Linked DNA regions of Caenorhabditis elegans. The protein of the gene in region 3 purifies or fractionates together with the protein of the main gene of each other region. This does not show direct contact. Each region holds a gene or a part of one and is shown on either strand. Other genes may lie near its edges. The genes, in order: Y54H5A.2, impt-1 and ttc-4.

Region 1 (9,879 bases), on a different chromosome or scaffold from region 3:
ACCATCTTTAACAACGTCAAACGACAAGCATGGCCAATCTAAATCATAAAATATAAATATTTTAGAAACAATTTCGTTTGAATCACCAGAATTGAAACTATGAAATAGTTTGTAAGCACTAGGGTCAAAATCCAATTCTTCTCCTTTTTTCAATGGCCGGCTGAGGCCTGGAATGTAAGCCTGCAATTTTAACAATTAGAAGTATTGTACGAAATTTCTAGCTCACTTGTCTCTGATTCTCCGGTACTTCCTCGTCTTCATCATCAGTTTCATCAACTTCCTCTTCAGACTCGTCTATATCCTCCACTGGATCCTCATCATGCATTTCAACGTCATTTTCACCGGACATTTTCTGCAGATACAGAATATATCTCTTAAGAAATGTTAGAAAAAGCGGATGAGGTAATATTTGGAACTTCAGAGGGTGTTTTCTTAAATTTTAAAACAATTATGAGCACAAAACTACTAGTAAAGCGTGAAAATTGGGAGGATAAAAAAAATAAATAGGAAAACAGAAAAAATTTTAGAGTACGCAAAAGTGCGTCGTCTCTGGCTTATTTCATGCGGTGTTTGCGTACTCTTAATATTTTTATCAATTTTTTAATGTTTTTCGAAACAAAAGCTATTTTCCTTTTATTTGTATTCATTTATGTGTTAAAGATAATAATATTAAATATTAATATTTTTTGATTTATCTGTCGCAAAGTTTCTGTACTTTCTGACTATATTTAGACTTATTTTCAGCCTGAAACGCTCACCCTTCAACAATGGCCAACTTGGATGATGAACTGGCTTTGTAAGTTGATTCTTCCTATATTTATTATCAAACAAATTATATTATTTTAGATTTGAAAGCGAGTTAGCCGAACTTGAACAAGCGAGTAGCAATTCGGAGGAGCCAGCAAGCTCTCAAACGCATGTTGGCTACGATAATGCAACAATTTCGGCAGGACCAACTACTTCCGAGTCATCAGCAGCTACTTCTAGTGCTCAAGTTATTCAACCATCACTTTTGGCAGCGCCTCCGTTTATTCCGATAGCTGCCACAATTGCAGTTTCTCCATTTATCAACCCGGCACTTGGGAGGCTTCCAACAATGCCTCCAGTTCCACCTTCAATTTTCATGCCTCCACAATTAAGAGCTGCACCGGTTAGTTTTGATTTTCCGTTGACTTAAAAAATATCCTTATTTTATGAATAAAGCCATAAATTTTTGAGAGAAAAGTTAAAAATTGAAGTTATGTGAATATTACTCTCAATTGAATATTAAATTTACAGATAATGTTCCCTCCTCGAGTACTCGGAATTCCGGCTCCTGCAACTATTGAAGGTGCTCCAGCATTATATGAAACACCTGCAGTAAACGCAATTCCACAAGAACTTCTGCGAACTCAAGCTCTTCAATCAGATATTGATAAGATGAATTTCAAAAAGCAAACCGATCCATTTAAGAAGAAAATCAAGGAACAACAAGCGAAAAAGAAGTTTGTGAGATCCGGTGGTGGTCAGGTTTGGGAAGATCCATCTCTTGCCGAATGGGATGAAAATGATTTTCGAGTTTTCTGTGGAGATCTGGGAAATGAAGTGTCGGATGAACTTCTTGCAAAGGCTTTTCGAAAATACCCAAGTTTCCAAAAAGCCAAAGTTGTCAGAGAATCACGAACAAATAAGAGTAAAGGATATGGATTCGTTTCATTCAGAGATTCGGAGGATTATGTGAGAGCTATGCGTGAAATGGACGGAAAATATGTTGGAAATCGACCGATTAAATTGAGAAAATCGGCATGGAAGGAGCGTAATATTGATGTTATCAAGCAAAAGAGAAAGCAAAAGAAAGAACTTGGAATTTTGTAAATCGATTCGTTTTTCTACATTTTTTTCTGTAATTTATTCATTTATACCCCAATACTTTCATTGTACCCCTTATTTTCCTGTCATCGTATTTTTATTCATTTTTCTTTTCAATATATAAAAGTCTGAATTGAGATATTTATCGTTATTTGAGTATCAGGAGCACTGTTGCATGTCCAGTGCAAAATATACCTCTACTGTCATTTTAGAACATTACATTTTTGAGTTTTTTCTTTTCAATTCATATTTAAGAAAGGCTGAAATCTTTTGAAAACTTCAAATTTTGAGGGAACAATACCGTATCCGGTCTCGACACGATACATTTTTGTTAAATTCGAAATGCTGTGCGCCTTTAAAGAGTACTGTAATTAAAAAATTTCGTTGTAGTTCAATTTCTAACGATTCTTTGAAGTTGTTTGATAAAAATATATCTACTAATCAAAAACTTCAGTAAAGCATAAATTTTAACAATAACTAACAAAAAATTCTTGTCGAGACGGAGTACTGTATATTTAGCGCACAAAACGAGAATTTTCGTGTCTGTGTTTCAAAAATGTTCTTCCTGAAATTTAAATGATTTTGGCTGGAAGTTAAGATAGGTAGACATTATATCTAGTATAGGATTTGTCAATTAGATACTTTCAACTAATTTTGTTACAAAAATGAAAAATACTTTCGACCCCTTCATTGGCTAGAACTTTCTATATAAGTATAGTTAGTAGGTGTCTTCATTTAATTCCTGTTTGTATAAATGTAGTACAAGTGGGTGGCTGTGTTGACGAGTATATCAATTGCGTAACGGATACCGACTACTTCACAAAGAGTGCCGATGTCGAAAGTTTGAGCAAGAGATTACGAAGGTGACGGGTCGAGACAGGGTCACACGGTGTCCTTCCGATTGACGGTTGCGCAATTCAACGCATCTTCTGAAGATGAAGATGTTGTTTGGTGACGGCAACAGGTCAATCTGTGCATCCGGATCAGAAGATTTGAAAAAAAGCGGCTTTTTGTACTGAAAGTGTGCTGTCAGTCTGTTGTTTACGATAAATGAGCGAGAACTCTGAATTTACTTGGAATTGGAATTCTAGACTCGTATTCGGATACAATTGTCAAAAAGTCAGATCCTATTCGATAATTCTACACGACCAATTAAAAAGCAATTTAAAATCATAATCTGTGCGATTAACTCATATTTTTCATTCAAACTGAAAATGGTTCCGCTTCGCAACCAAATGCTTCTTTTGATGTTATTACATGAACACATGTTTGATGATATCATGTTGTTTTCTGTTGTGCAATAACAGTCATATCCTTCAAGAGCATGTTGAAAATCATTCGATGCGAAGAATCTCTAGATCTAGATAATAATCCCCTTTAGCTTTTACTAATAAGTAATCCTTTTCCCTATTCTCTTCCGTCAAATTTATAAGCAATTCCTCACCATTTTGTTCACACCTGATACCTCGTTTATTATCAAGTGTAATGCGGTATAAAACACCCATGGTATGGATTGTGTCAGGAAAATGGAAACATCTAATATTTTATGACACGAAGAGGTCTTGGATTAGGAACAGCCGTGTGGACGAAGTGTGGCATGGGGTTTGAAATGTATGGGTTTTCACTGTGAAGCTCCCCTATTGTTTAAACTTATCAAATTTAGATAATTAATATAAAATGAAACTTGATATTTATTCCATCAAGTTTTCAGTTTTATTTGATCAACATTGAAATTTGGGGAGATAAACATCCAAATAGCATTAATCGGTCTTAGCAACCAGATATTCAACTCTGATTATGCAACTTTGTCCACATTATCCGGTGGTCCATTGCTTGTAGATGACGTAACTCTGGACCGTTTGTTTTCCAAAGTAGTGTTGCATCAACAATCACCATGCATATCCCATTGGATTACGGTAGTCAGGAACCCTTTTCTAGTTTTTTTCAATCTGGAGTGTCCGTTCTTTTGTGCACATCAAGTGTGAGATGTACACGAGCCGCAACGTCCGAAAAGCACACTTCAACCTGACTTTTTGTCCCCAATTTCTCACTCTCAACCGCAAAAGACTTACAGTAACCCGCCACCTTACACATTCGCGCACTTTTGAAGTGGCCGACTGTGAGGATTGGCGCTGAAGCTGCAAGATTCGAGATGTTTGTCGGTGAGAAGGACGCGTACCCGGGTGGGCGAATGAGGTATACTGTAAAATAGAATTGAAGTGATTGTTAACTAGACTATGGGTGTGACAAGTTGATTTTGACGTCAAAATTTGTTGCAGTCTAGCAGGGAATTTGAAGTTTAGAGAATTGAGTTCATACTAGAGATAGAAAACTCAAGGGGTTCTAGAAATAAATCAGGCGTTGTGTGAAAAATGTATTTAAAAAGTGATAATCGGAAGAAATATAACATAAATTTAAAAACGAATTGAAATGAAATCCTGAATTTAAAAATAATTATTTATTTCTAGATGACTGACCTGGAAGTAAGCGTCGATGATTTGGTGAAGCTCCTCTCACCGACTATGTCGTAAGAACTGAGGTTATTATTCTTAATTGAAAATTCCAATTCCAGATTAATTGTTCGTCGTAAAACAATGGAAGTTGTCACTCAACTGGGTACACCGCTCGATGGATCTGCTGGAAAATACTTCCAAGCTCAAGATTTTGCTCTGGGAAAAGCGATTTGTCAGTTATGTGAAGCAACTTCTTCGGATCGAACTGAAACTCTGGCAGCTCTCACAAACTTCACTTCTGGTTCCATTGAAGCCGCTGATTTTGTATTGGATAAATCAAAATGTGTGGAAATTGCTTATACTGCAGTTGTTACTAATGTAAGGGAATTTTAAAGTAATATTCAACGCTTTCATAATATTACATAGACGCGTAATTTTGCGTTTTTTGCGCCAAAAATACGGTACCCGGTCTCGCCACGACTTTTCAAAATGCAGAATATGTGCGCCTCAAAAAACTGTAATTTCAAACTTTCGTTTGCTGCGAAAATTTATTCACAAACTTGTTAATATCAGTGTTTAAATATTTTTTTTTTTAAAACAAATTTTTATTCAAAAACGAAGAAAATTCCGCAGAAACGAGATTTTGAAGTAGTGTTTAAAGGTGCGCATCCGTTTGAATTTAAGAAAAAAAATGTCGCTTCGAGACCGGGTACCGTATTTTCTGCGCAAAAATTGTGAAATTTCGTTTCTGGTTAATATAAATACAATAAGAATATAGAGAAAGACTAATATTTTGGATAAAAAGAACGAGTGGTAACCTTATACCATAAGTAGTAGTTGTGTCAAGTACTCGTAATCCCCCGACTTTAAGTGTTTTTCTTTCAGGCCTTGTATTCGTCAGTTGCCTCTCGTCTGCTTGTCAATGTTTCCCGCCATTTCCCAGATCGTGTTGATCATAAGTTGAAAGCACGAAATGCGAATTATATTGGACAACTGCTCAGTGAGTTTCTTTTGGTGAATTCAAAATATACTTCAAAAATTGAATTAAAAATGTTTTTTGAGTTTCAAAAATTCTTTCTCAAAATTTTTAATTACCTACTCTTGAAAAAGTGACTTTTAGAACACCATTTGGTCCTGATGCGAGTGAAATATTCCAGCTACCGTAGCCGAGAGTATGGTAGATAATTTTACACTAATTAATGAAAAATATTGAAAATATTCTAAAAAGTTTTTTAATTTTCCAGACGTGAGATTATGTGATTTTTGTACCAAAAAAACGATGACTGGTCTCAACACGACAAGTTAAAGAGTACTGTAGTTGCCGCGGAATATTCATAGATTTTTAAAACAATAATTTGAAATTAATTACAGTACCCCGTAAAACCGCACATCATTTTTCATTTAGCGAAAACTTGTCGTGTAGAGACCATATACCGTATTTTTAACTTTCAAATCACACAAATAGCTCGAGGTTACTATAGTCGAATAGTTTCTTTCGTGCCAGGACCCAAAAACTGAAAACTTTTTCACATTCCTCTTCATAGATCTCATAGGAAAATAAATTCAACGAGAATCTAATCGAGAAACTACGGTTCGTGTGGTAAAAACAAATCCTCATTCAATTCTCGAAACTACAGTAACCACATAATCTAAATGTTGTTTTTTTTCGGTAGTATTGTCCTTGAGTTACATATTACCCAATATCCTCTACACACGCTTATTAGCTTGTGTTTCATGTCATCCATCTTTTGATTGATTCTTCTTTTTCCTAAATAACCTTGCTCGTCCCTCTTCTTGTCCTTCCTCTTTCTTTCAATGTTCGGTGACAGCTCACTTTTTCAAATAATTGACGGAGGTGATCAAATGTGGCGAATTGTACACCTTCTGCATCGACTTATTTCAGCCTTATAAAATTGATGAAAAAAGACACGTTGATAATAGTATTACAGTGGGGTGGTTGAAAGGAAGATGCCGACAAAACTAAGGGGATTACCAGCGCCTAGTTTATCGTATTAGTGTGTTTGGTCCTATTTGTTGGTTATCAGTTAGCAGAGGCAGCGAGCACGTAATGAAATACACAAATATGCTAGATTCTATTGTGTTATGAAGTTAAAAAGGAGTACGGTAGGTATGAAGATTATTGACTGAAACGGTAAATTCAATCATAGTCTGTAACTTGAAAATACTAGAAATTAAATGCAAAAACGAAATTAAAATTCAAAAGATGGTACCGCGATTTCGCTGAACTGAATAATCGTTTTCGTTAAACTTTTTTAAAATTTGAAATAGTATTTTAACTTGATTTCTTCTTTTTCATAGTGTTAGTGTGCCCTTTTGAACAAAATTTCGTAACTATGAAAGGGGATTTTTCGTTTTCAGTGTACAGTATTCCGTGCTAAGATTCTAATCTGCCCAAATCATTCGGCGCAGCTATCATCAAACTTTCTGTCCTATAGCATTCCATGAAATGTTACCTGCTTCTGTATTCTCGCCAATTAGTGTCGCTTCATCAAGCGTCAAACACAACACATTGGTCAACACACACATATCACCTCCGTTATCAGTCCTCACACCGTACGTCGTTAAATTTTAATGGCTCCAAGTACAAACAGCCCCAGTCAGTCCCCCCACACTGACACCTTTCACTTCATAAATCTCAAGCTGATAATGATTATGTAACTGGCGCGAGGTCAATCTACTTGAGTTATGTAACAGAACAGCATGGAGCCAACACAAACTTTGCTCTTTCCGTTAGTCTTCACGCCCATCCTACAGTAATCCAGTGTTGACACTTTCTTGGGTTTTTCGACGGCGGCAATTGTCTTTTGATTAACACGGAATTGGAATACCAATCATTCTGTGAAGGCGATAAGTCGTCACACTCTTTTCGCTGCTGTATCAGAAGTTTGTACGCGTGACAAATTCGCGACATTTTCTCGGGGAAATGTGTTTGAATATTGGAATAAATACGGTGTTTGATATATTAATAGGTTCTACGATACGAGGAAATGATAGTTGGTGTTGGGAGAAAAGAGGAATATGATATAGGGTTTTGTAGGTACAGTAGTCTTACAAAAGGAATATTTCGAACTTGGAAATAAAGTGGAACTAGAAACTAAAATATTATTATACTCACTATTCAGAAAACTTTAATACTAAAATTTTAAGTGTCCAATATTGGGTTTCGAACACATTTTCAAATATTTAATTAAAAATGTCATTTATATAAAGCTTTAACTGATACATTTTTTTCAGATGAGATCAAGAAGTCTGTAGAGACTGGCGATGAGGATCGTGCGAAATTCGTCGGATTCACCGTTGTCAATCTGTCAGTATTGCCTCCAATCCGGCAAAATATTGTTCAAGGAGGTATGCACACTCCTCCACTTATACATTAAAAATTGAAATGTGTGTCTCCTGGTAATAAACTTTTTTTCTTATCAGGTGAGAATGAATCGTCGCCTCCGTCGACGACAATGAAATTGCTACCAATTGTTTGCGAGTTGCTGACAACCGCCGAAACGACTGAAATTCGAGAGTGTGCAGCCGACGTGCTCAGGAATTTGGCGTTTGATGATAGTAGGTTTCTAGATTTTCAGACCAAACAAATTGTTGAAAAATTGAACCTTTGTGTCGTTATCTATAGATCAAAAACTTTTGTGCAAAAAGCAAGGATACTGTAGCTTTTTCGGTGATTCGCGGATTTCTGTTTGTTTATCAACCTCCTTCGAATGTTTTCTTTTTCAATCTGACAATGAGCTCGAACTTTTTATTAGGAAATTTCAAATGTTAGTTGCATTAAACCTTAGTTTTTTCATTTGTACCTCCAGATCATACCTGTGCGGCATTTGGTTTCGGCATTTGAACAAAATGCACTTTTTCATAAATATGAAAATACGTATATGTATGAAATAGCATACGATGAGAAGCCCGACTCTTAGGCTTGTCACCAGTCAAAAAAATTTCAAAAAAAGTTTACCCCTGCTCGAGATATGCACCCAAATGCCGTATGGCGAATGCCGTATGCCGTATTCGGCATACGGCATTTGGGTGCATATCTCGAGCAGGGGTAAACTTTTTTTGAAATTTTTTTGACTGGTGACAAGCCTAAGAGTCAGGCTTCTCATCGTATGCTATTTCATACATATCCGTATTTTCATATTTATGAAAAAGTGCATTTTGTTCAAATGCCGAAACCAAATGCCGCACAGGTATGCTCCAGATCCCTAACTTAAGTTCTTCAGTGTGACAATTCGAATTCCCTCATCCTTATTCATTTCGCCGCCTCGTTTTTTTTCTTTCCCATTTCATTCAGTCTATTCAATTTGAGAGTCATAAAACAATGAGAGGGGTATCCTCTGATAGTTAAGACACCATAACATCAGGAGGCAAGGCTGACGAATTCTAACAACAACGCCGTCGTCTTCGTCGCCATATAAGTCGGGCGGATACGGCTATTTCGACACGAATAGAGACACAAGGAGTCGGTAATAAAGTGTCAATGAATGGAGTGGCAAAAAGCCGTAAAACCATCCACGACGATGACACCCCGCAACGAATTCTTCATTTGGACACACGACATTTCAACTATTCTTTTATCTTCTTCTGATGATGCCGTCTATCTGTTATAGTATGTAGATGTGGCTTCGAGATAAAAATGAAACCGTAATTCACATGGATTTTGGAACTTGAAAACCAAAAATGAAATATAATCCAATTTTCAAGAAGAAATGTAGAAAATCGCTCATTAGAGAAAAAGTTTGGAAATACAGAGTTGAGCCAATTTTGACCATTCGTCATTGAGCCAGAATCTTAACATTCCTAAGCAGGATACTACGTGAACTAACTACAGATAGTTGTCCAATTGGCGATAATTTCACCCCCAAGGTTTGCTTTGGAAAGGTCATCTCACCTGAATCACAAGTTCTAGTTGTGCTTGTACTGTGAGTATTTAGCAATAATTATTACTGCTCGGGTTCTGTGTTTACCTTCACACCTGCATTTTAAACTATTACATCGTTCAATGATGTCTCATAGTAGATCATTTGACGTGTCATTAAACGTTGACGCAACCTTCTCTGTATTTGCCAAAAAGGTGGCAGTAAAATGATCTAGAATTTAATAGGCTTTAACTCGCACCTACTTGTTTCTCTAATTGTGTTGCATCACGTGGTCATGTGACCGGATGCCACAATTTCGACGAAAATACAATTTTCGCGTCAAACGGTCAACGCCTTTTCTTCTGCCAATTTCGCGTCCCTCTCTGTAATTCGATTACGGTATCGGTTCTCTTCCTTCTCATCACTTTTTTGTACTCACGCGTGCGGACCGTTCTGCTTTTTGAAAACGATCAAGAATTGAGAAGAGAAAACGACTTATAAGGTCATTAATAAGTCCTTTAACAAATAGGAAAAAGGGGTACATCTTCTTTTTTTCTGATTCTGGAGAGACAAAACAAGATCGTGATAATAGGAATAAGACGATTCGGGGGTACACGGTCGTTTTTGAAGTTGGAAGACGTTGCCGCCAACAGTGATAGCGGTGTTCATCATCATCATCACTGGGAGACAAGATGACA
Region 2 (11,286 bases), on a different chromosome or scaffold from region 3:
TTAAGAAAAAAAATTTCCTAAAATTTAAGTCAAAAATTTCAGATTTTCTCAAATTTTCCGCCAAATATACTCACACAAATCGCCAAAACTGCGGAAATTGAAGTAACCAGTGAAATTCCGTGAAAAATCGCCCAAAATTGGTCAAAAGTGTCGTGGAACTGCAGGAAAATTGGGGATTTTGAGGGGAACTTTCAGGAGAAAAACTTACGAAAATGAGGAAAAGCTCTAAGCCAAATGAGAATAGAGTTAGGGTAAAGTCAAGGATCTGGAAAATATTTGAAATTCAAAAAAAAAAGTGAAAAAAACGTTTTGAAATTTTTGAAAAAAAAAAAAATTTTCCCAAAATTTTCAAAAAATTTTTTAATTCCAAAATTCCAAAAATTATCCCAGAACACTTCCAAAAATTACCATAAAAATGGCAAAAGCCAAAACGACATGAGAACAGCAGAATACAGTGTAGTTTGCATCGTTCGGTGAGCCCAACTCCATCAGAAAACGCATATTTGATTGAAAAACTATTTATTAGTATAAAGTGACCAATGTTTTGAAAAATAAATGAAAATGATTACAATTTGAAAGAGTTGTTGGATTAATAATATTAAAAGCACACGTAGGGAGTTTAAAATTGAAGAAAAAAAAATTATCACGTTAAAAAATATAGAATTTTAAGACTTCTTCGGTCCATAATTATTATCACTTAAAATTTGCCGAGTTAAATTATTAATATGTCGAAAACGATCGGGTCCAAGATGAATTCCACCGTACCAACGTGAAACGACGACCTGAAAGAAGAAATTGGTTGAGGCTCAGAGACTACAAACTACAAAATTGGAAAATTTTCAGTTTTTTAAGCATTAAGATTTTTAATATGCAAAAATCAATCTTTTTTCTTACAAAAACATTTTTTCTAATGAATTTGAACAATCTTGCTATTTTCGACTACAAGTGGTGTCAGGCTGTCTCATTGCGGTTTGATCTACGAAAAATGCGGGGATATTTTTCCAGAAAAATTGTGACGTCAGCACGCTCTTAACCATACGAAATGAGATGAGATGTCTGCGTCTCTTCTCCCGCATTTTTCGAAGATCAAAACGAAATGGGACTTTCTGACTCCACGTGCGACTACAAACTACAAAAATATATTCTGGAAAAAGGCTCAGGACCACTACAAACTATAGTTTCTTGACTACAAACTACAAACCAAAAAAAAACAAATTTTTTTTGAGAAATTTTGGAATTTCGGTGAGGTTCAGATACTACAAACTACAAAAAGCTGAATTTTATCGGTTTTTGAGTATTTTTTGAACTAGAATTTGAATTTTTTTAAAAACCCATAAAAAAATTCGGATTTCACAATTTTTGATTTAAAAAATTTGTAGAAAATTCTATTTTTACAGGAAAAAACCGTTAAAATAACTATGGAAATTTGGGTGAGGCTCAGAGACTACAAACTACAAACCCCGGCTCAGCCTCACCAAAAATGGAATTTCAGGGTGTGTTTGAAACTAAAATTCGAATTTTTTCGAGTTTCAAATTGAAAATAATTACGAAACTCAGAAAAATTAATAAATTTTACTTTTTTGCGAAAAAAAAACTAGTAGAAAATCCTATTTTACCGCTAAAATCCGTTGAAAAGCTACGAAAAATGGGTGAGGCTGAGAGACTACAAACTACAAAATGCTCCGAGCCTCACTCAAAACTTGATTTTAGGGTGTTTTTCAAAATAAAATTCGAATTTTTTGAGTTACACATTGAAAATGTTCACGAAACGCAAAAAATAACGAATTTCACTATATTTTTACAGAAAAAATCTGTTAAAAAACTAAAAAAAAATGGTGAGGCTAAGAGACTACAAACTACAAAAAGCTGAATTTTATCGGTTTTTGAGTGTTTTTTGAACTAAAATTCGAATTTTTTTAAAAAGAAACCCAAAAAAATAACAAGATTTCTCAATATTTTTGGAAAAACCAGTGGAAAAGTTTATTTTTACAGGAAAAAACCGTTAAAATAACTATGGAAATTTGGGTGAGGCTCAGAGACTACAAACTACAAACCCCGGCTCAGCCTCACCAAAAACGGAATTTCAGGGTGTGTTTGAAACTAAAATTCGAATTTTTTCGAGTTTCAAATTGAAAATGTTCAAGAAACGCAAAAAAATTAACGAATTTCACTTTTTTACAAAAAAACTAATAGAAAATTCAAAAATTGGGTGAGACTCAGAGACTACAAACTACAAAACCCCCTGAGCCTCACTCAAAACCCGAAATTCATCGTTTTTGCTCAATTTTCAGCGGATTTTCTCGCGGAAAAAAAGCTATTACCATCACATTATCCGCTTTCATTCGATCCATGAGCTCTAACATTTTCGAACTTGCTCCAAATTCCCCATCATCCACACAATCATGATGATGAATTGGTTTTCCATTGATTTCAGTCATATATCGATATGCTGTAATATTATGTGTTGCCCGGCAGATTTTTGTATTCGATTTAAGGATTCGCATCACTCGATCCACCTGGAAAAAATGGAAATTATGACTACAAACTACAAAAAAAATTGTGAAATTTCAGAATTTTAAAAGTAAAATTTCCATTTTCACAGCTTTTTTTTAAATATCAAATTCAAATTTTTTAATTTATAAGCCTTTATAGGCTAAGGCTAAGACTTCCACGTGGAAAACTTTCTTGGTTGAGGCTATAGAATATTGTAGTTTGTAGTGTGGTTGAGGCTTACATCTTCCTTACTCCGAACCTCGGCCAAATGAGCCTGAAATGCACTTTTCCGGTCTGTAAGCACTTCTCCGTGTCGAATATTCATATCATCGATTTCCTCGGCCATCGGTGTCACCACGTCATCGGCCACATGGCTGGGCTCCGCTACTTCTTCGGGAAGATCCTAAAACTATTTTAAACTTCTTTTTTTTCGCGTGTTTTCGGTAAAAACCTACCCGAATAAAGTCTTGAACAAGGGATATCCAATTGAAAATCACTGGAAATCCGATATTTTCGATATAAACGTCATTTAGACTGTTGTGAAGCACCTCTTTCTGCTCCCGACGGAGATATGGACCACTTAGTTCGAAAATTGGCGGAGATCTGGAAAAAATTGGTGAAATACGAGAAAAAACGTGTTTTTTGCATGTTTTTTTTTGAAGAAAAACGAAGAAAAAGTACGAATTTTAAGTTTGGTTGAGGCTCAGCGACTACAAACTACAAAACGCTCTGAGCCTCACCCAAAACTGAATTTTATCGTTTTTACTCAACTTTCACCGGATTTTTTATAGTTGCGGTTCATTTTGTTTAAAAATTGGTGAAATATGGAGAAAAAACTATGTTTTTACGCTTTTTTCGAACAAAAACGAAGTAAATTGACGATTTTTTATTTTGGTTGAGGCTCACGGACTACAAACTACTAAGCGCTCTCAACCAATGTGATTTTTTGCGATTTTTTAATCTTAATTTCAAGAATTTTGCATGAAAAAATTAGGAAATCTGTTATTCTCAATATTTTAACCGAATAAAATGGTAAAATTCAGTTTTTAGAGCAAAAATTGGTAAATTTCCAGTTGGTTGAGGTTCAGTGACTACAAACTACAAAACGCTCTGAGCCTCACCCAAAACTGAATTTCATCGTTTTTGCTCAATTTTTACCGTTGCTGTTCATTTAATTCAAAATTGGTGAAATATGGAGAGAAAACTAGGTTTTTACGCTTTTTTCTAACAAAAACGAAGTAAATTGACGATTTTTTATTTTGGTTGAGGCTCACCGACTACAAACTACAAAACGCTCTGCCTCACCCAAAACTGAATTTCATCGTTTTTTATCAATTTTCACCGGATTTTTTATTGTTGCCGTTCATTATGTTCAAAAATTGATAAAATATAAAGAGAAAACTATGTTTTTTTCTAACAAAAACGAAGTAAATTGACGATTTTTATTTTGGTTGAGGCTCACGGACTACAAACTACAAAACGCTCTGAGCCTCAATCAATGTGATTTTTGCAATTTTTGGTTTAAAAAATTGATTTTTTTACTTTCTTTGTGTATTTTTTTGAGTTTAATTTCCATTTTTCGGCAATAAATCGATAGCAGATTTTTAAAAAAAATTTTCAATAAAAATTCCAATTTTAGACCAGATTCCGCGTAAACCAACATATTTTTTCAAATTTAAAATATTTTAAACACTTACATCGAAGGATAATCCTCTGGCAGATTAATTGTCATTCCAATATCCCTATCGAATTTAAAAACCAGCTGTTTATCAGTTGTTTCTTCTAATAAATCCGGAAAAATCGATGCCAATGACTCAATTTCTGCTATTCTTTGCTCCTCGTCGCTCATTTTGTCTGAAAAATTCGATTTTTCGTATTTTTTAATTGAAAAATATCGAAACAATAACAGAAAACAGTTAAAAATGAATAAATTTCCATGTGATCGAGTTATGCGCCAGCAATTTTGTTGGCGCACTTCTCGCGCATGCTGGCGCGTTTTCGGATTTAAGCGATTTCCAGATGTTTTTTGATTGACTTTTTGCATTTTTAATAAAAAAAACTAACTTAAAATTATTTTATTGATTCTAAAAATCAATAAATTTTCAATTAAACCCAATTTTTCTCAATTTTCGCCTGCAAACTCATCGAAAAATATTTTAAAACTGGAATTTTCAGATCTCATGAACAATTTATCGGTTAATGGATCAAGTAATGGACTTTTTGCGAAACCAACAATAGGAAGAAGTGAATATGGACGGGTCAAAGTGGCGTTGGCACCCGGAAAAGGGTTTATGGATTGGTTGAGGCTCACGACAAATAAGGTTTGTGGGGAGAAATTTAAATTTTCGATTTTTTAAACGTTTTAAGTGCATGAGAAAGTCTAGAAAAAGCTTAAAACTCACGCAAAAATTCCTGAAAATCTGAAAAACCTCAATTTTTCGCTAGGTGAGGCTCAGAGACTACAAACTACACAAATTTCTGAGCCTCACTGAAAAAAACTTTAATTTTTTCGAAAAAACGGCCGAAAATTGAATAAAAACTGTTTTTTTTCGTGCATTTCTTCAATAAAAACAGATTGAAAGATTAAAATTTCTCAAAAAAACTCAAATTTAACATTAAAATTTGCTTTGAAATAGACTACAAACTACAAAAATTGCTCAGCCTCAACCAAAAATTGAAACATTGCGTTTCAGATCAAATACTGGAATTTTATAGTAAAACCAGATTTAAAAAAATCTATATGTATATGATTTTCAGCACCGATTTTAAGAAATTTCTAGTTTTTTTCACTAAAAATCCGATAAAAATTCTTGGTTGAGGCTCAGAGACTACAAACTACACAAATTTATGAGCCTCACCCAAAAACAACATTTTAATTTAAAAAATGACCGAAAATCGAATAAAAACTGTTGTTTTTTCTTGCATTTTTCAATAAAGTCAATTTAAAAAGTCAAATTTTCACAAAAAATCCCAATTTTCATATTTTTAATTTATTTTTAAACAGGCTACAAACTACAAAAATTGAGTTTTGTGTTTTTTGCTGGAGTTTCACAATGAAATAAGAAAAAAAGTATAAAATATCACCAAATTTACTGAAATTCCAGCAATTTCCACTAAAAACCGCTCAACTTTAATAAAAATTACATTAAAATAGTTGGTTGAGGCTAAGAGACTACAAACTACACAAAATTCGACGCCTCAACTAAAAGTAAAAACGCTTAACTTTTTTTGAAAAAAAAATGGCGGAAAATCAAATAAAAACTGTTGTTTTTTCTTGCATTTTTGCAATAAAGTCAAAATTTCTCAAAAAATCCCAATTTTCACATTAAAATTTATTGTTCAACAGGCTACAAACTACAAAAACTGGCTTAGCCTCAACCAAAAATTAAATATTGCGTTTTAAGCTAGAATTTTACATTGAAACCAGAAAAAATGTTTAAAATAGGACCGATTTCACTAAATTTTCACAAAAAACGGCTCAAATTCGATAAAAATTGCATCGAAATTGTTGATTGAGGCTAAGAGACTACAAACTACACAAAATTCTCCGCCTCAACCAACATTCCAAGGCAAATTAATCAATTTCCAATTGAAAAATTGCACTTTTTTCGCATTTTTTTTGCCGTCGGAGGCTCACACACAGCATCTCACATGTCTGCGTCTCTTTCTCTTCCGATACCACAGCTTCTTCGTCATTTTCCGATGGAAAAACCTTTTTCTTTTCATTATTTTTAAGTCTAATCACTAGAAAATGTGCTCAAAATTCGTGAAATTTTATCGAAAAGTAAGATTTTTGTGTAGTTTGTAGCCTGAATTCTACCAAAAACATGAAAATTTTCAGCATTTGGCGAAACGAGTCAGTGGAGGTGTGGATCACGTGGAATTGATGAAGCATAACACGAAAGACGACTGTTGGGTACACCTTTTTGGAATTGTAAGACGGTTTTTCCAACTTTCGAGGAAAAAACTTACAAAACTGCGAAATTAGTTGAAAAAATCGAAAAAAAAAATCCAAAAATTAATCTCTAACCTGTTTTCACGATCGATCGGATTAAACTTTACACTAAAAATTAAAAAAATGTCCGATCTTTGAGGAAAAAAACTGAAAAATTGAAATTTTTATATTCATAAAACTAAAATTTCACTTTAGAAAAAACTGAAAAATTTTCGATTTTTTTGGGGAAAAAAAACGAAAAAATCGTGATTTTTAAAAGTGAAAATTAAAAAATAAAAAAAAAAAACTTTAAAAAATGACTTGGTTGAGGCTGAGGAACTACAAACTACAAAACCCGGTTCAACCTCACTATAAACTGAATTTAAAGATTGAATCAAATTGAAAATAATCTAGAAAGCCAAAAAATTAACGATTTTCATCCTATTTTTACAACAAAAATCCGTTAAAAAGCTAATAAAATTGGGTGACGGCTCGGAGACTACAAACTACAAAATGCTCTCAACCTCACCAAAATCTGAAATTCATTGCTTTTGATCAATTTTCAACCGATTTTTTGCTGGTGAACGGGCTTTTAAATCGTGATTTTTAACAGTGAAAATTGCAATATTAAAAAAAAAACTAAAACTTTGCGATTATTTGAAAAAATGACTTGGTTGAGGCTCACAGACTACAAACTACAAAGTTGTTTGAGCCTCACCAAACTTTTATGAGTGAGGCTGTAAAAATTGTAGTTTGTAGTCAGTTTTCTTCGGAAAATGTGATTTTTGACAACAAAATAACATTTAAAATTAAAAAAAATCGAAAAAATCCAAAACATTTTCAAAAATAGATTTGAAAAATGTAGTTTGTAGTCCCGCAAAAAAAAAATATTTTTCAGGTGTATGACGTCACCAAGTACCTGGATTTCCATCCGGGCGGTATACCCGAATTGCTACGTGGCGCTGGCCGAGACGCCACGCCCCTTTTCAATCAATACCACGCGTGGGTGAATTATGAGAGTATGCTGAAAGCATGTGTAGTTGGACCATTTATCGGAGATTTGACAAAATGTGAGGGTTTGTAGTTTTTGTAGTCTTTGTAGTTTTTGTAGTCTTTGTAATCTCCGCCAATCTTTGGACTACAAACTACAAAAATGTTTATGTTGGAGTCATTATTTATTTCGACTCTCATTAGAATTTCGAAAATTCAGTAGTTTTAATATAAACAAGTATAGGCAAAGACTACAAACTACACACAATTTAGAACATTTTGTAGTTTGTAGTTTTTGTAGTCTGACTAGTAGTACCAACATATTTTAAAATCAAATTTCTCAGCTTGTAGTTTGTAGTCATTGTATTTAATTAGATGCTCTAATATTAAAAAAATTTTTTGTAGTTTTTGTAGCCTATAGACAAAGACTACAAACTACAAACAACACATACTTAAAAATTTGTTTTGTTTGTAGTTTGTAGTTACTGTATTTTTTTTTTCTGTAACTTTTTTTAAAAAAAGTTTTGCCCAATTTTTGTAATCAAAACGTTGACAATAACTGTAAACTTCCCAAAAATTGTATAGTTTATAATTTGTAGTTTTTGTAGTCTTTGTAGTCTCCAACAAACGTTGGACTACAAACTACAATGTTGGTAACATTATTTATTTCGACTCTCATTAGAATTTAAAAAAATCAGTAGTTTTTGTAGTTTTAGTATGAAAAAGTGTAGACTACAAACTACACATAATTTAGAATATTTTGTAGTTTGTAGTTTTTAAAGTCTGACTAGTAGTACCAACATACTTTAAAATCAAAATTCCCAGCTTGTAGTTTGTAGTCTAAATTTTTGTAGTTTTTGTAGTCTTTAGACAAAGACTACAAACTACACAACTTTGAAAAAAAAACATTTTTGTAGTTTGTAGTCACTGAATTTTTATTCGATTCAATTTGAAATTTTCACCTAATTTTTAGCAGCTTTGAAACTTTGACAATAACTACAAACTACACACAAAAATTGTGCAGTTTGTAGTTTTTGTAGTCTTTGTAGTCTCCGCCAATCTTTGGACTACAAACTACAAAAATGTGGATGCTGGATTTTTGTAGTTTTTCGAATTTCATTAGAATTTTAAATATTCAGTAGTTTGTAGTTTGTAGTCTAAATTTTCAAAATTTTTGTAGTTTGTAGTCACTATATTTGGACCGATTCAATTTGAAATTTTCTATAACTTTTTTCAAGTTTCGCCGAATTTTTAGCATCATCAAAAGTTTAACAATATATACAAACTACACACAAAATTGTATAGTTTGTAGTTTTGTAGTTTTTGTAGTCTGTGAGCCTCACTACCACCAATAATATTTTTCCAGTACCTTCACCACTTCCACCAACAACTTCGGATGACAAGAACAAGCTCGGTGTTCCCAGCTCAGCACTTTTCAGTACAGATCCATCTGAAAATGGATATGGAGCTCGTGTCGAGACCCTTTCTGACAATTCTGGAATTTCATTTGAGCATGATGATTGGACAGAGCTCACCGAGCACAATGTTATTGTTTCATTAGTGCCTGTTTTTGTTAAGGTACATAGAGACTACAAACTACAGAAAATTTTAGAAATTTTTTTTTTTCGGAGGGAAATTCAATTTTCCTGAGAAAAGTTAATTTTGGCCGAGAATTTAAAAAAATGAGAAAAGTTAATTTTGACGGGAAATTCAATTAAAAAAAAAAAAGTTTGCAGGGCAATTTAAATTTTTTAGAAAAAATTTTTGGCGCTAGTTTCAAATTTTCTGGAAAATATTTTGGTGGGAAATAAACATTTTTTGTAAAAAAAATTTTTGGCGGTAAATTCAAATTTTCTGAAAAAAAAATTTTTTTTGACGAGACATTCAAATTATTTGAAAAAAAATTTTTTTGCGGTAATTTCAAAATTTTTAGAAATTTTTTTTCCCGAAAATTCAAATTTTTTGAAAAAAAAAACAGTTTGGCGGGAAATTCAAGTTTTCTGAAAAAATTAATTTTGCTGGAAATTTATATTTAAAAAAAAATTATTTTTGCGGAAATTCAAATTTTCTGCGAAAAATTTTTTGCAGGGAAATTCAAATTTAAAAATTATTTTTGGCGTTAAATTCAAAATTTTATGAAAAAAAAACATTTTTGGCGGGAAATTTAAATTTTCAGCAAAAAATCAATTTTTGGCGGGAAATTAAATTTAAAAAAAAACGTTTTTGGCGGGGGAATTCAATTTTTTTTAGGAAAAAGTTAATTTTCACGGGAAATGCAAATATTTTGAAAAAAAATTCTGCCGGAAAATTCGAATTTTCTGAACAATAATAATTTTTTGGTAGAAAATTCAAATTTTCTCTGAAAATATTTTTGGCGGGCAATTCAAATTTTCTGATAAAAAAATAAATTTTCGGCGGAAAATTCAAAATTTCCGGAAAAAAATGTTATGGCAGGAAATTCAAAAATTTCTGAAAAAAAATTTTGAAGACAATTTCAAATTTTATCAAAAACACCATTTTTGACGCTAAATTCGATTTTTTTGACAAAAAAAAACTGCGAAAAATTTTTTGCAGGGAAATTTAAATTTATTGGAAAAAAAGAAAAAAAGTTTGGCGGGAAATTCAAAATAAAATTTTCAAAACTATTATCAAATTTTTTTTTATCATTTGCTCTCATTTTTACTCAAAAAACCCACTTAATTTCCACTTAAAACCCCAAAAAAAAAGTAGTTTGTAGTGTCCTCCCAGCCTACATACTACACAAAATTTGATTTTTTTTTAAAATACAGTTCAGCTGGAAATTCAAATTTTCTATGCAAAATTGAAGAATTTTAACCAAAAAAAAAAACCATTTTTTGTAGTTTTTTGTCAAAAAAGCTAACTCTCCACTTAAAAGCCGAAAAAAAAACAAATTTTGTAGTTTGTAGTATCCCATCCTCCTCACCCAACAACATCCTAATAATTCCCCAGACATCAATAAATACACGTGGCGAGGAGAATACCGAAGAGCACGCTCGTCTCCGAGTACTAATTCATCATTTCTGGAAACCAGCGATGGAATTTGAATTCGAGCCAACTCCAGCACTTTGCCACGTCGAATATACCCTGAAAATTATGAAAAATCGCGTGGAAATTCGATTTTCCCGTGAAATTTCCGGAGGAAAAATTGATAGATCAAAGTGTAAAATTCAACGACGGCCAGGAGTCACATATCACACGACGGAAATTATTGATCGATATCGATTAAATCATGATACATTGATTTTTAGTCTACAGCTCCCCGAGCACACTACATATCGAATACCTATTGGACATCATGTTTCGATTAAAATTCGGAAAGGAAGTATGGGGAAATTTTCGTGGAAATTTTTTTTGATTTTTGGGTGTAAAAATTTGTAAAAATTTGTAAAAACCCATAGAAATATATATTAAAAAACGGGAAATTTTTGAGATTTTTTGTTGAAAAACGTCTTTCGGAATACAAAATAGTGTAAAAAATGCGATAATCTAGATTTTGACCCAATTTTAGCTCAAAAATTCTGAAAAAAATGAGAAAAAATTTCTGTGAAAAACGGGTTTTTAACTGCATTTTTTTGTTTCAAATCGTGATTTTTTTTTTTGGAAAAATGTCAAAAAAATCGATTTTCAACTTTTTTCTGTTGAAAAATCTGAAAAATACGGTGAAAAATTTTTTAATTCCGGCAAATTGTTGGTTTGCCGATTCGCCGAAATGTTCAGTTCCGGAAATTTGCCGCTTTGCCGGAAATTTTCAATTCCGGCAAATTGCCGGTTTGCCGATTTGATGGAATTTTTCAGTACCGGCAATTTACCGATTTGCCGGAATTTTTCAATTCCGGCAATTTGCCGAC
Region 3 (8,873 bases):
AACTTATTAATTCCAGCTGGTCAAGATTTGAAGAAACTTCAAAAGTCTTCCAAATCAGGAGAATCAGGTGTTGATTGTGCAACTGCAGTCGACGAGTTCCCCATGAAATGTGGTGCTTGGAAATCTGCAGGATTCTGTGATACAAATCAAGCAACACAATTTTTATGGTGTCGTAAAACCTGTCTCTGCTCATCGACAATCAGCACAACAACGAGTTCGTCAAATACCGAAGAATAGCTGAAACTGCCATATAATGATTTTTTCTTTCCGACCTCTATATAATAAATAAGTTTACAATCGTTGCTAATTGGTTTCCAAAATTATCAAAACCCGTTCGTTCGCCTTTATCTGCATGAACCAGAAGACGTATCAACTGGCCTGGGAGTTGGATCTAATTTCTTCATCACGGGTAGAAAACTATACACTTGCCGACTAGCATTTAAGTGAAGCAGCCGACTTATTGCGAGTTCCGCGTATTGCTATCTTCTCTGTGTCGGTATGCTCCTCCCCCACGAGGAGAACTTTGATGAATATAGAAAGTTTGGAAAGCATTTCTGTGGAAACTTGAAGAATTTCAAGCGCATTCCAAAAATAATTTTTTTGAAAAATATCTCCCATAACGTTTCATTCTAAAAACTTTTTTATTGTATGATGTTTTAGTAGCCTCAAACCCATAAAATAAACACGTTTTGAAAAAACCTGAAAAAAAAAACCAATATATACTTAAGAATAATGGCACAAAATGATATAAAAGTGTGGTACTAGTAGAACTAGAGTTCATTAAAAATTGAAATGCAGTATATTTATTACTCAATCATTATTTTGTTAACTTTTGACATTTCTACAGTAATCTCAGCGAAATTGATAAAAATCGTGAGTTTCTCTAATTCTTTAAAAAATGTTTCATATCATTGAAAACCAGAAACTTTGAAGGAACCAATTGATTATAATGTGGAAATAGATAAAACATTGGAAGGAATCGAAAGTTCAGTTCGAAATCAAAGTATTTCCGATTTTTCCACGTATTTTTCTGAAAGCTTTGACGCCAACGGTGGGTTATCGAATTGCAGAGATTTTTGCATCAATAGTACGGTATAAGGTCTCGTCACGAAATTTTTTTTGTGAATTGCAAAAAGGTATGCACCTTTAAAAGAGTACTGTAATTTCCAACAGAATTTTCCAATAATTTTTCATAGATTTTCTCTCGCTTTCTCAAAACTTGGTGTGATTTTTATATTGTTTTCTTGTTTTTTAAAATCAGTATTTCAAAAATAATAACGTTTCATCGAAAATTGTGAAAAATCAATTGAAATTATGCAGGTTGGAATTTACAGTAACCCTTAAAGGAACATACCATATTGAAAGTAACTAAAATTGGCAAAATTTCGCATCTGTATTAAACAACTTGAAATTGAAGAGTGGTATCGTAAATTCATGGGAAAATTGACTCCAGAACAGGCGTGTACTTATTCGGTAATTTCCAACTTTCCAATATTTTTTCAATGTCCAAATTTTCCAGCTCTCTCGATTTGTTGATGTAAAAGATGGCAAACTAGTCCAATTCACTGAATCAGTCACCTTGAGTGATTCTGTGACACGTCGAACCCCATTCAATGCAGTTCTTACTGAAATCCAATTGGAGACTGAGAAGAGACTTGTGATCGACTCTCTAACTGTGCACGATGGTCAGCCAGCCGATGAAGAAGAACATTGAAATCTCACGAAATCTTTCATGATGTTTCAACAAAATAAACAATAATGATGACAATCAAAATTAACAAAACCGAAAAATAGAACAAGATTAACGCATAAAATAACAGAACAAAAAATGAATAGAATAGTAGTTTTTAGTCTTCGACAACTTGAACATTGTAGAATGATACTGTGAAAAGGAAGAACGGATCAGATGATTTGCAATTGGCGTATTTCATAAACGATATCACACCAGGCTCACGGAACACTATTGATGCGGCGTTTGGTGATGGGGAAATTCGTAGGAGCTGGAATTTATTTTATTTTTCAAATTAAAAAAACGAAACTTTCAAATTACCTCTTCCGTATCACCTTCTTCGATGTAAATCAGGTCACCACCAGCTTCATCATCCCAATTGGTTTTCTGTACGAATAGGTGAACATCCAGACAGTATCCATCAGTTGAACTTTGTTCAGCATCTTCATCTCCCAGAACCCAATATGTTCCATGCTCCACACGACTAACTTTAACACTTGTTTGAGCTCCGGTTACTGTAACTCCAGTCAGTTTGGCTGCCAGTTTTGCAAAATTTTTGGACTTCAGACATTGAATTATTCTTTTAGTATTCTGCAGATCCGCAGATTTTTCTTCATCAAGACGTGCAACGTGGCGTTTGCTAACCGGGCCAACAGTTTCAAAGCAAGATGGGTTGGAAATTAATTCAGAATATGCATTATCATGAATTTCTTCCTAGAATTAAAACAAAATATATTCACGATATGAAAATAAATAACTTACGAATATAAATTTACTCAAATTAAGTTCAGAACTGTCAGCAAATGTTTGTTGCACTTCATCTTGCCTTTCTTTTTGTAAATATTCTTTGCTGATGAGTTTCGACAATTTACACGCCGCCTCTGGTACAAATCGTTGAATAGCTTCTACTGCTGGCTTTTTTGGTTCGATCCGTCGAGTTGAGTGGAACCATCCGTTGATCGATAAACGAGGTTCTTCGGAAAGCATTTCGGCAACTCGGTGCCAAGATTTTTCAGACACTTCGAATAGCATAAAGGAATTACGTAATGGTGAGAATTGAGCAGCCACAGAAGTTGGTTGTAGTTTTTCTGAAATAAAAATCATGTGAATGTGAATTTTATAATTAAACGTTTAACGTACTGTCGTGATTAAAAAGCTGCAAATCTCCACCATTCACTTCCGAATCCCAGTCAGCTGATGTGATGTAATAGACAAATGCGAATCGACGAGTTTCAATCTACAATTTAAAAAATGCAATCAAAAAATTATTAAATAAAAACATACGAGATCATTATGTGGTAATAGTGAGTCTGTTCTTGCGTAACAGCTTCCATTACAGTCAACTTGCTCAGTCAGCTCCACTCCTGATACGTTTTGGAGCCATTCTTTGACTTCCTTGTATAAGAATTGTCTGGAATTAACTTATTATTAATAAAGCAAATAGAAGAATCAAGAAAATATATTTCTTACCGAAAAGAAAATACAGCTGGATTTTCAACTGGATTAATTGATTTCAGATCATCAGATTGATACAAAGAGTACAGATCATTCTCTTTTCTTTTCCAACCTTCAAAGTTTTGTAGCTCGTCTTCGATCTTTTCTACCACGTTGTCGCTGTTATCCACAAAGTTTCGGAGTTGCCAATGAGGAAATGGGCCATTTGATTCTATAAAAATTGCAATATATCGCTTTTAAACTTTTTATTAATTGACTTACTCTCAAATCCTTTCTTAAATTCCGTTTTGAACTTGTCTTCAAGATATTTCGGACTGATATGAATAGGTTCCAGGACAACACTTCTTCTTTTCTTTAGCTTTGGTGATTTCGATTTGTCACTGGCTCCTCCAGCTTTCGATTTACGTTTCATAGCTGAATTATCTGAAATTAATACCTAATTTAATTGTGAAATGACAAATTCTTCCAGATAAAAACCATCGGTTATTAACCATAAGTTTTTAAAAATGGGTAAAGGAATTTTGTAATTATTAATAATTTTTTTTGCACAAAAAAAAAAGACACAACAAGTCAGGAAGTAAATAACACAACAAAACAACGGGATGAAGTAAAATAACAGAATTTGTAATCAAATGACAACAATTTTATTTAGCAACGTATCGATTCTCATCCTCAGCCAATGCTTCTAGGGAACTTGCGGCTTTTTCTTTGGTCATAATCTGAAAAATTGTCGAATTATTTTATTTTAACAATTTTGGAAATGATAAACCCATAATTCAGCGTTTTGTGGAAAAACTCACCATAATTACAGGAAGCCCCTGTTTTATTTGATATCCTGGCATGCTAAGCACCGATTTGAAATCATTCCATTCGTACACTTCCATCAAATATTCATCATATTCATCCGATACGAAGAACCGAACATTCTCAAAATTGAATTTGTGCTCCGGATCCCACTGAGCTGGTGAATTTAACACTTCTTTTAACAATTCTCCGACGGTTGTTAATTCATTTGTCTCGGTAAGAACATCAGTTTGACCAGCTTCGGGATATTGTAGAAGGATCGGCCATACAAGATTTAGATCATCATCGAATTTGACACATTCATGCTGAAATGTAGAAAATTAGAGAAACTCAAAGTTTCAGAATAAATTAAACTTACTGAATGCATCAACGGAAGGGATACGGTAAGTCTCGCCATATCCATGAGTTCGGGACGATCAAACGGAACGCGGGGACATAAATTCAAATTCCGTTCCTTGAGTGCATCTAATAGTTGTTTCTTCGATTCTGTCTCTTTTCTTTCTTCGGCTCTTGATTTTCTTTTATCTCTTTCTTCTTTCAATGACAGTTCAACTGATTTTACTCGAAGTGTTTCCAATTGATCTATGAATTTTTTCTCATCATCAGTAAGATCCGCTGTAAAATAAAATTGTGAAAATTTAACTTTTTTTTAAATCAAAATTGAACATACGAGTGTCAGAAGTTTCTTTCGTGAATGCGAAAATCTTTTTGCTGCTTTCAATCCAATTCAGCGCGTCTTTTGCATATTCCAATTCCAGAAGACATTCGGCTCCTCGAATTACACCTTTCAGATGAGTTGGATCAAACTTCCGTCCCATCGAGCAGTCTTTAATTGCAGATCGAAGATTACCGAGATGTTTTTGAGCTGCGGCTCGGTTGAAATAGAGCACAGCGTTCAATTTCCTATCAGGTGAATTTTCTTTGATGCCTGTAAATTTCTAACTTTAGTATAAAATTTTCTGGATTTCTTATTCAGAGATACCATTAGAATAGCAATCAGTCGCCCATCTATACTTCTTAAATTTGAAATGTTTGTTTCCTTCCTCTTTGTGATGTTCTGCATTCATTTGCTTATCCTCGTCGTCTTCTTTATCGTATTTCATAGACTGAATATTTGTACGTATTAATTCGATATTATTATCCATTTACTTGCCTGTAAAGCTTCAATAGTGTCCTGATATTTTCCATCCGTGGGCATTTCTGTCATGAATGCAGGATGTTGATCAATCTCTTTGCACCAGTCATCGAAATCAAACGGTTTTCGTTCTTCTTTCTTATCAGACTGAAAATGTAAGATTTAATGTCACGATTGCAGAGATTTAAATATGAAATTACTTTTCTCGCAGCCATTTCTTCCATGAACTGATCTAGGTCGTCATCAAGTTTCTTCGCAAGGGCTGCTCGCTCTGACTCAGTGAATTTCTTCTTCTGGGGAAGATCCATTGGTGAATATTGATGATTCATTCTGAAAATTAACGTTTAAAATAAATATAAAACAAAGAGTAACCGAAAAGAATGCAGTTAAAACTTTATTTTCAGAAATTTTAGGAAATAAAAAAGAATGAGACGACACCAGTTTTAGGAATGCGATCTTGTGGAAAGCGGGTGTATGAACAAAAAACAACGCAAAAGAGTATATTTTTTTAGTTGTAAAATCTTTCAAGTTTAGCTTTTTGGCTTCAAAAAAAGTTTATTAATTGATCAATTACCCTAATCATAGTAAACAATTGTTTTTTTAAAGAAACATTGTTCTCAGGTTTTGCATTCTTCTAAAGTGAGTGGTCTCGACACACGCGCAAGTGCGCTCCGCTGAGAAAAATTACATTCAAAATTTATTTTTGTGTTTTTTTATTCATTTTTATTTTTCAACAATCTTTTCTTTTTCTCCTATTGTAAGACATTTTGCATAAAATATTATTTCAATATTTTTATAATTTAATGGAAATCTCCAATAAAAGAAGCCTTCTCTGCCATCAGCGGCAACAAAATTTCTCAAAATCTAGTTTTAAATATGAATAAATTTATAATTTAAATAGTAGATGCTAGAAACGTAATGAATTTCAGAAGAAAAAAATTTTAAATCTGTATGTTTTAAAATCTTATCAAATCCCAAATTTTGAATCATATTTTATAAGTATAAAATATAATTATAACTCTTAGTTGCATTTTTGAAACTGCCCAAAATATATATATAGTTCTCAAATTAATCCAATTTCTTATATCTTCATTGAATTCAACAAAATCGATTTCTTCTCCTTTTTAATAAAATTCAATTCTTCTTTTCTTTGTTAGTAACTTGTTCATTTTCTTTGTATAATAACCAATGCAATACTGCCCTACTGCAAACAAATTCAAACACAAGACAGTCAATGTGACTGAACAATTGGCACGCTGCCAAACCCCGCCAAAGTCTCTGCGTCACCTTCATTTCCCTACTGTTTCCTATTCTTTCTCAGGGCCAAGTGCATCATCATTCTGTGTGGGAGAGATCGGGAAGGGACACTCTCTGCGACTCGTGTTTATTTCTTCTCCCAGCAGCCCAACCCAATTGCATGTCACATTTTTCACATCATTACTCGACATCTTATCACCTAATCGATAAATTCTTAGAACTCTCCTTTTATTTTCGTACAGTACCCGAATTCCTCTATTTCTTATTTACCTCTATTCTCTTGCTTTCCGAGCAGCTGAGCCAACTTTCGTTTGTATTTATCTAGCCACACAGCACGAACACAATCGTTTTTTTATTGCAGGCGCTACGGAATGTGCTAGTAGAGGCAGAACCATATAATAGTAATAAAAAAAATGAGAGAAGACCACTCCCCACGTCGTAACAATACAATTGAAAATACTTTGACAGAAGTGAGTTGTTCATTTTAAAATGTTTGAAAATCTGAAAATAATATATTTTAATTTCAGTTGCTACCCAATCGACTTTATTTCGGTTGCTTTCCCAATCCTGATGCTATCGACAAATCAGATAAATCAGTAAAGAAAACTTGCTTCATCAATATCAACAACAAGTTTCATTACGAACCTTTTTACGAGGATTTTGGTCCATGGAATCTTTCAGTTCTCTATCGATTATGTGTCCAAGTAGGCAAACTGCTAGAGGTGAGCTCATTCCAAGATTGATGATAGATTAGATAACACACTCGTTTAGGTCGAAGAAAAGCGAAGCCGACGAGTGGTGCTTTTTTGTCAGGATGATGGGACAGGGCAATATGACAAAATACGAGTAAATACTGCCTATGTACTCGGAGCATATCTGGTAAGTTAATGACAGAAATGTATATTTTCTAAAAATTCTTGATCTCTAAAATAATGAAAATGTATTTCAGATAATCTATCAAGGATTCTCTGCCGACGATGCATATTTGAAAGTGTCTTCCGGAGAAACTGTAAAATTTGTTGGATTCCGTGATGCCTCTATGGGATCACCTCAATATCTTCTCCATTTGCATGATGTTTTGCGAGGAATCGAAAAAGCATTGAAATTTGGATGGCTCGACTTCTCAGACTTTGACTATGAGGAATATGAGTTTTATGAGCGCGTTGAGAATGGAGATTTCAATTGGATTATCCCAGGAAAAATTCTAAGTTTCTGCGGGCCTCATAATGAAAGCCGCGAGGAGAACGGGTATCCGTATCATGCTCCAGATGTTTATTTCGACTACTTCCGTGAGAACAAAGTTTCAACAATTGTTCGGTTGAATGCAAAAAACTATGATGCTTCGAAGTTCACAAAAGCCGGATTTGATCATGTTGACTTATTCTTCATAGATGGAAGTACACCTTCTGATGAAATCATGCTGAAATTTATAAAAGTTGTTGATAATACAAAAGGAGGAGTCGCTGTTCACTGCAAAGCAGGTCTCGGGAGAACTGGGACTTTGATCGCTTGTTGGATGATGAAAGAGTATGGATTGACTGCTGGAGAGTGTATGGGTTGGCTACGTGTATGTCGACCTGGCTCAGTTATCGGACCACAACAACCTTATCTCATTGAGAAACAAAAGTTCTGTTGGTCACTGTCCCAATCAAATGGTGTTCATCTTACTCAAAACAAAGAAGAAAAAAGAAATGTACGACGTCTTGTTAATCAAGTGGATGATATAAATTTAGGAGAAGAAAGGATATCTCCGAAAAGTCGAGAAAACACTCGTCCAAATATCCTTCGAAGGCGTGTGCAAGTTCAAAATGGAAGGTCAACTGCTCCAGTAACAATAGCCCCTGCTGGAACATCCGAATCTAGAAGATCCACTAAACCATCTCGTGTCGTCGATGAGACTGCTCTAGACGATCAAGGAAGATCACAAGGCGACCGACTTCTACAATTGAAAGCCAAGCATCAACACGAATCAGAGACAACAAGTCCCAACAGTTCCTCGAGTCGGAGATTTGTCAAAAGTTCAACACCACAAATGACTGTTCCGAGCCAAGCATATTTGAATCGAAATCGTGAACCAATTATTGTCACACCGTCAAAAAATGGAACATCATCTGGAACGAGTAGCCGTCAGTTAAAAACAACACCAAATGGAAATGTTGCTTATCGAACTAGAAATTCATCAGGAAATACCACGTCAACTCTTACTAGAACTGTAAGTTATAAACAAACTTGGTATATTAAAAATGAGCTCTCATTCAACGCCAGAAAGTTTTAGTTTAGCCATAAACAAAACAGTTTCAGGGAAACGAGAGCTACAGATTCCACAACTCGTTGTTCTACGAGGTATAACTCTCACTCATTGTGTGCTCAAACCATTTTCTTTTTTCCCAAACAATTTGCTTTCAGTTTAAACGTGGTGTGAAATATTTTAGAGTTGCTTTATTCCTAATCCCTCATCATACCATTGTTTTAGATTACCATAATCAATTGAGA

What was found.
Region 1: the proteins of ttc-4 (region 3) and Y54H5A.2 fractionate together in Caenorhabditis elegans (co-fractionation; one large-scale study listed by BioGRID). This does not show direct contact.
Region 2: the proteins of ttc-4 (region 3) and impt-1 fractionate together in Caenorhabditis elegans (co-fractionation; one large-scale study listed by BioGRID). This does not show direct contact.

What each region holds. Positions count from the first base shown.
Region 1 is NC_003281.10:5,144,016-5,153,894, reverse strand, and holds the start of Y54H5A.2 (Protein HGH1 homolog), read left to right. Parts: upstream 1-4,316; coding exon 4,317-4,375; intron 4,376-4,420; coding exon 4,421-4,679; intron 4,680-5,186; coding exon 5,187-5,301; intron 5,302-7,556; coding exon 7,557-7,670; intron 7,671-7,745; coding exon 7,746-7,880; intron 7,881-8,901; exon of another isoform or gene 8,902-8,922; intron 8,923-9,879. Other genes in the region: grwd-1 (Glutamate-rich WD repeat-containing protein 1), read right to left, coding at 1-38, 87-180, 227-349; rbm-42 (RNA-binding protein 42), read left to right, coding at 768-796, 847-1,150, 1,279-1,854.
Region 2 is NC_003279.8:10,965,825-10,977,110, forward strand, and holds impt-1 (Protein IMPACT homolog), read right to left. Parts: upstream 4,354-11,286; 5' UTR 4,343-4,353; coding exon 4,191-4,342; intron 3,097-4,190; coding exon 2,949-3,096; intron 2,903-2,948; coding exon of another isoform or gene 2,897-2,902; coding exon 2,735-2,896; intron 2,517-2,734; coding exon 2,322-2,516; intron 783-2,321; coding exon 666-782; 3' UTR 501-665; downstream 1-500. Other genes in the region: spe-38 (uncharacterized protein), read right to left, coding at 75-158, 209-265, 409-489; Y52B11A.3 (Cytochrome-b5 reductase), read left to right, coding at 4,674-4,814, 6,335-6,427, 7,326-7,503, 8,784-8,995, 10,388-10,760. UniProt on the Caenorhabditis elegans protein: Translational regulator that ensures constant high levels of translation under amino acid starvation.
Region 3 is NC_003280.10:5,591,294-5,600,166, reverse strand, and holds ttc-4 (Cns1/TTC4 wheel domain-containing protein), read right to left. Parts: upstream 5,454-8,873; 5' UTR 5,432-5,453; coding exon 5,324-5,431; intron 5,271-5,323; coding exon 5,142-5,270; intron 5,095-5,141; coding exon 4,971-5,094; intron 4,917-4,970; coding exon 4,659-4,916; intron 4,604-4,658; coding exon 4,347-4,603; intron 4,294-4,346; coding exon 3,985-4,293; intron 3,904-3,984; coding exon 3,829-3,903; 3' UTR 3,691-3,828; downstream 1-3,690. Other genes in the region: C17G10.6 (ShKT domain-containing protein), read left to right, coding at 17-237; spig-18 (DUF4440 domain-containing protein), read left to right, coding at 793-873, 934-1,051, 1,418-1,473, 1,520-1,714; C17G10.1 (uS12 prolyl 3-hydroxylase), read right to left, coding at 1,848-2,000, 2,051-2,443, 2,492-2,817, 2,870-2,966, 3,014-3,140, 3,200-3,395, 3,446-3,596; Tyrosine-protein phosphatase cdc-14, read left to right, coding at 6,794-6,850, 6,908-7,102, 7,152-7,259, 7,330-8,592, 8,682-8,723.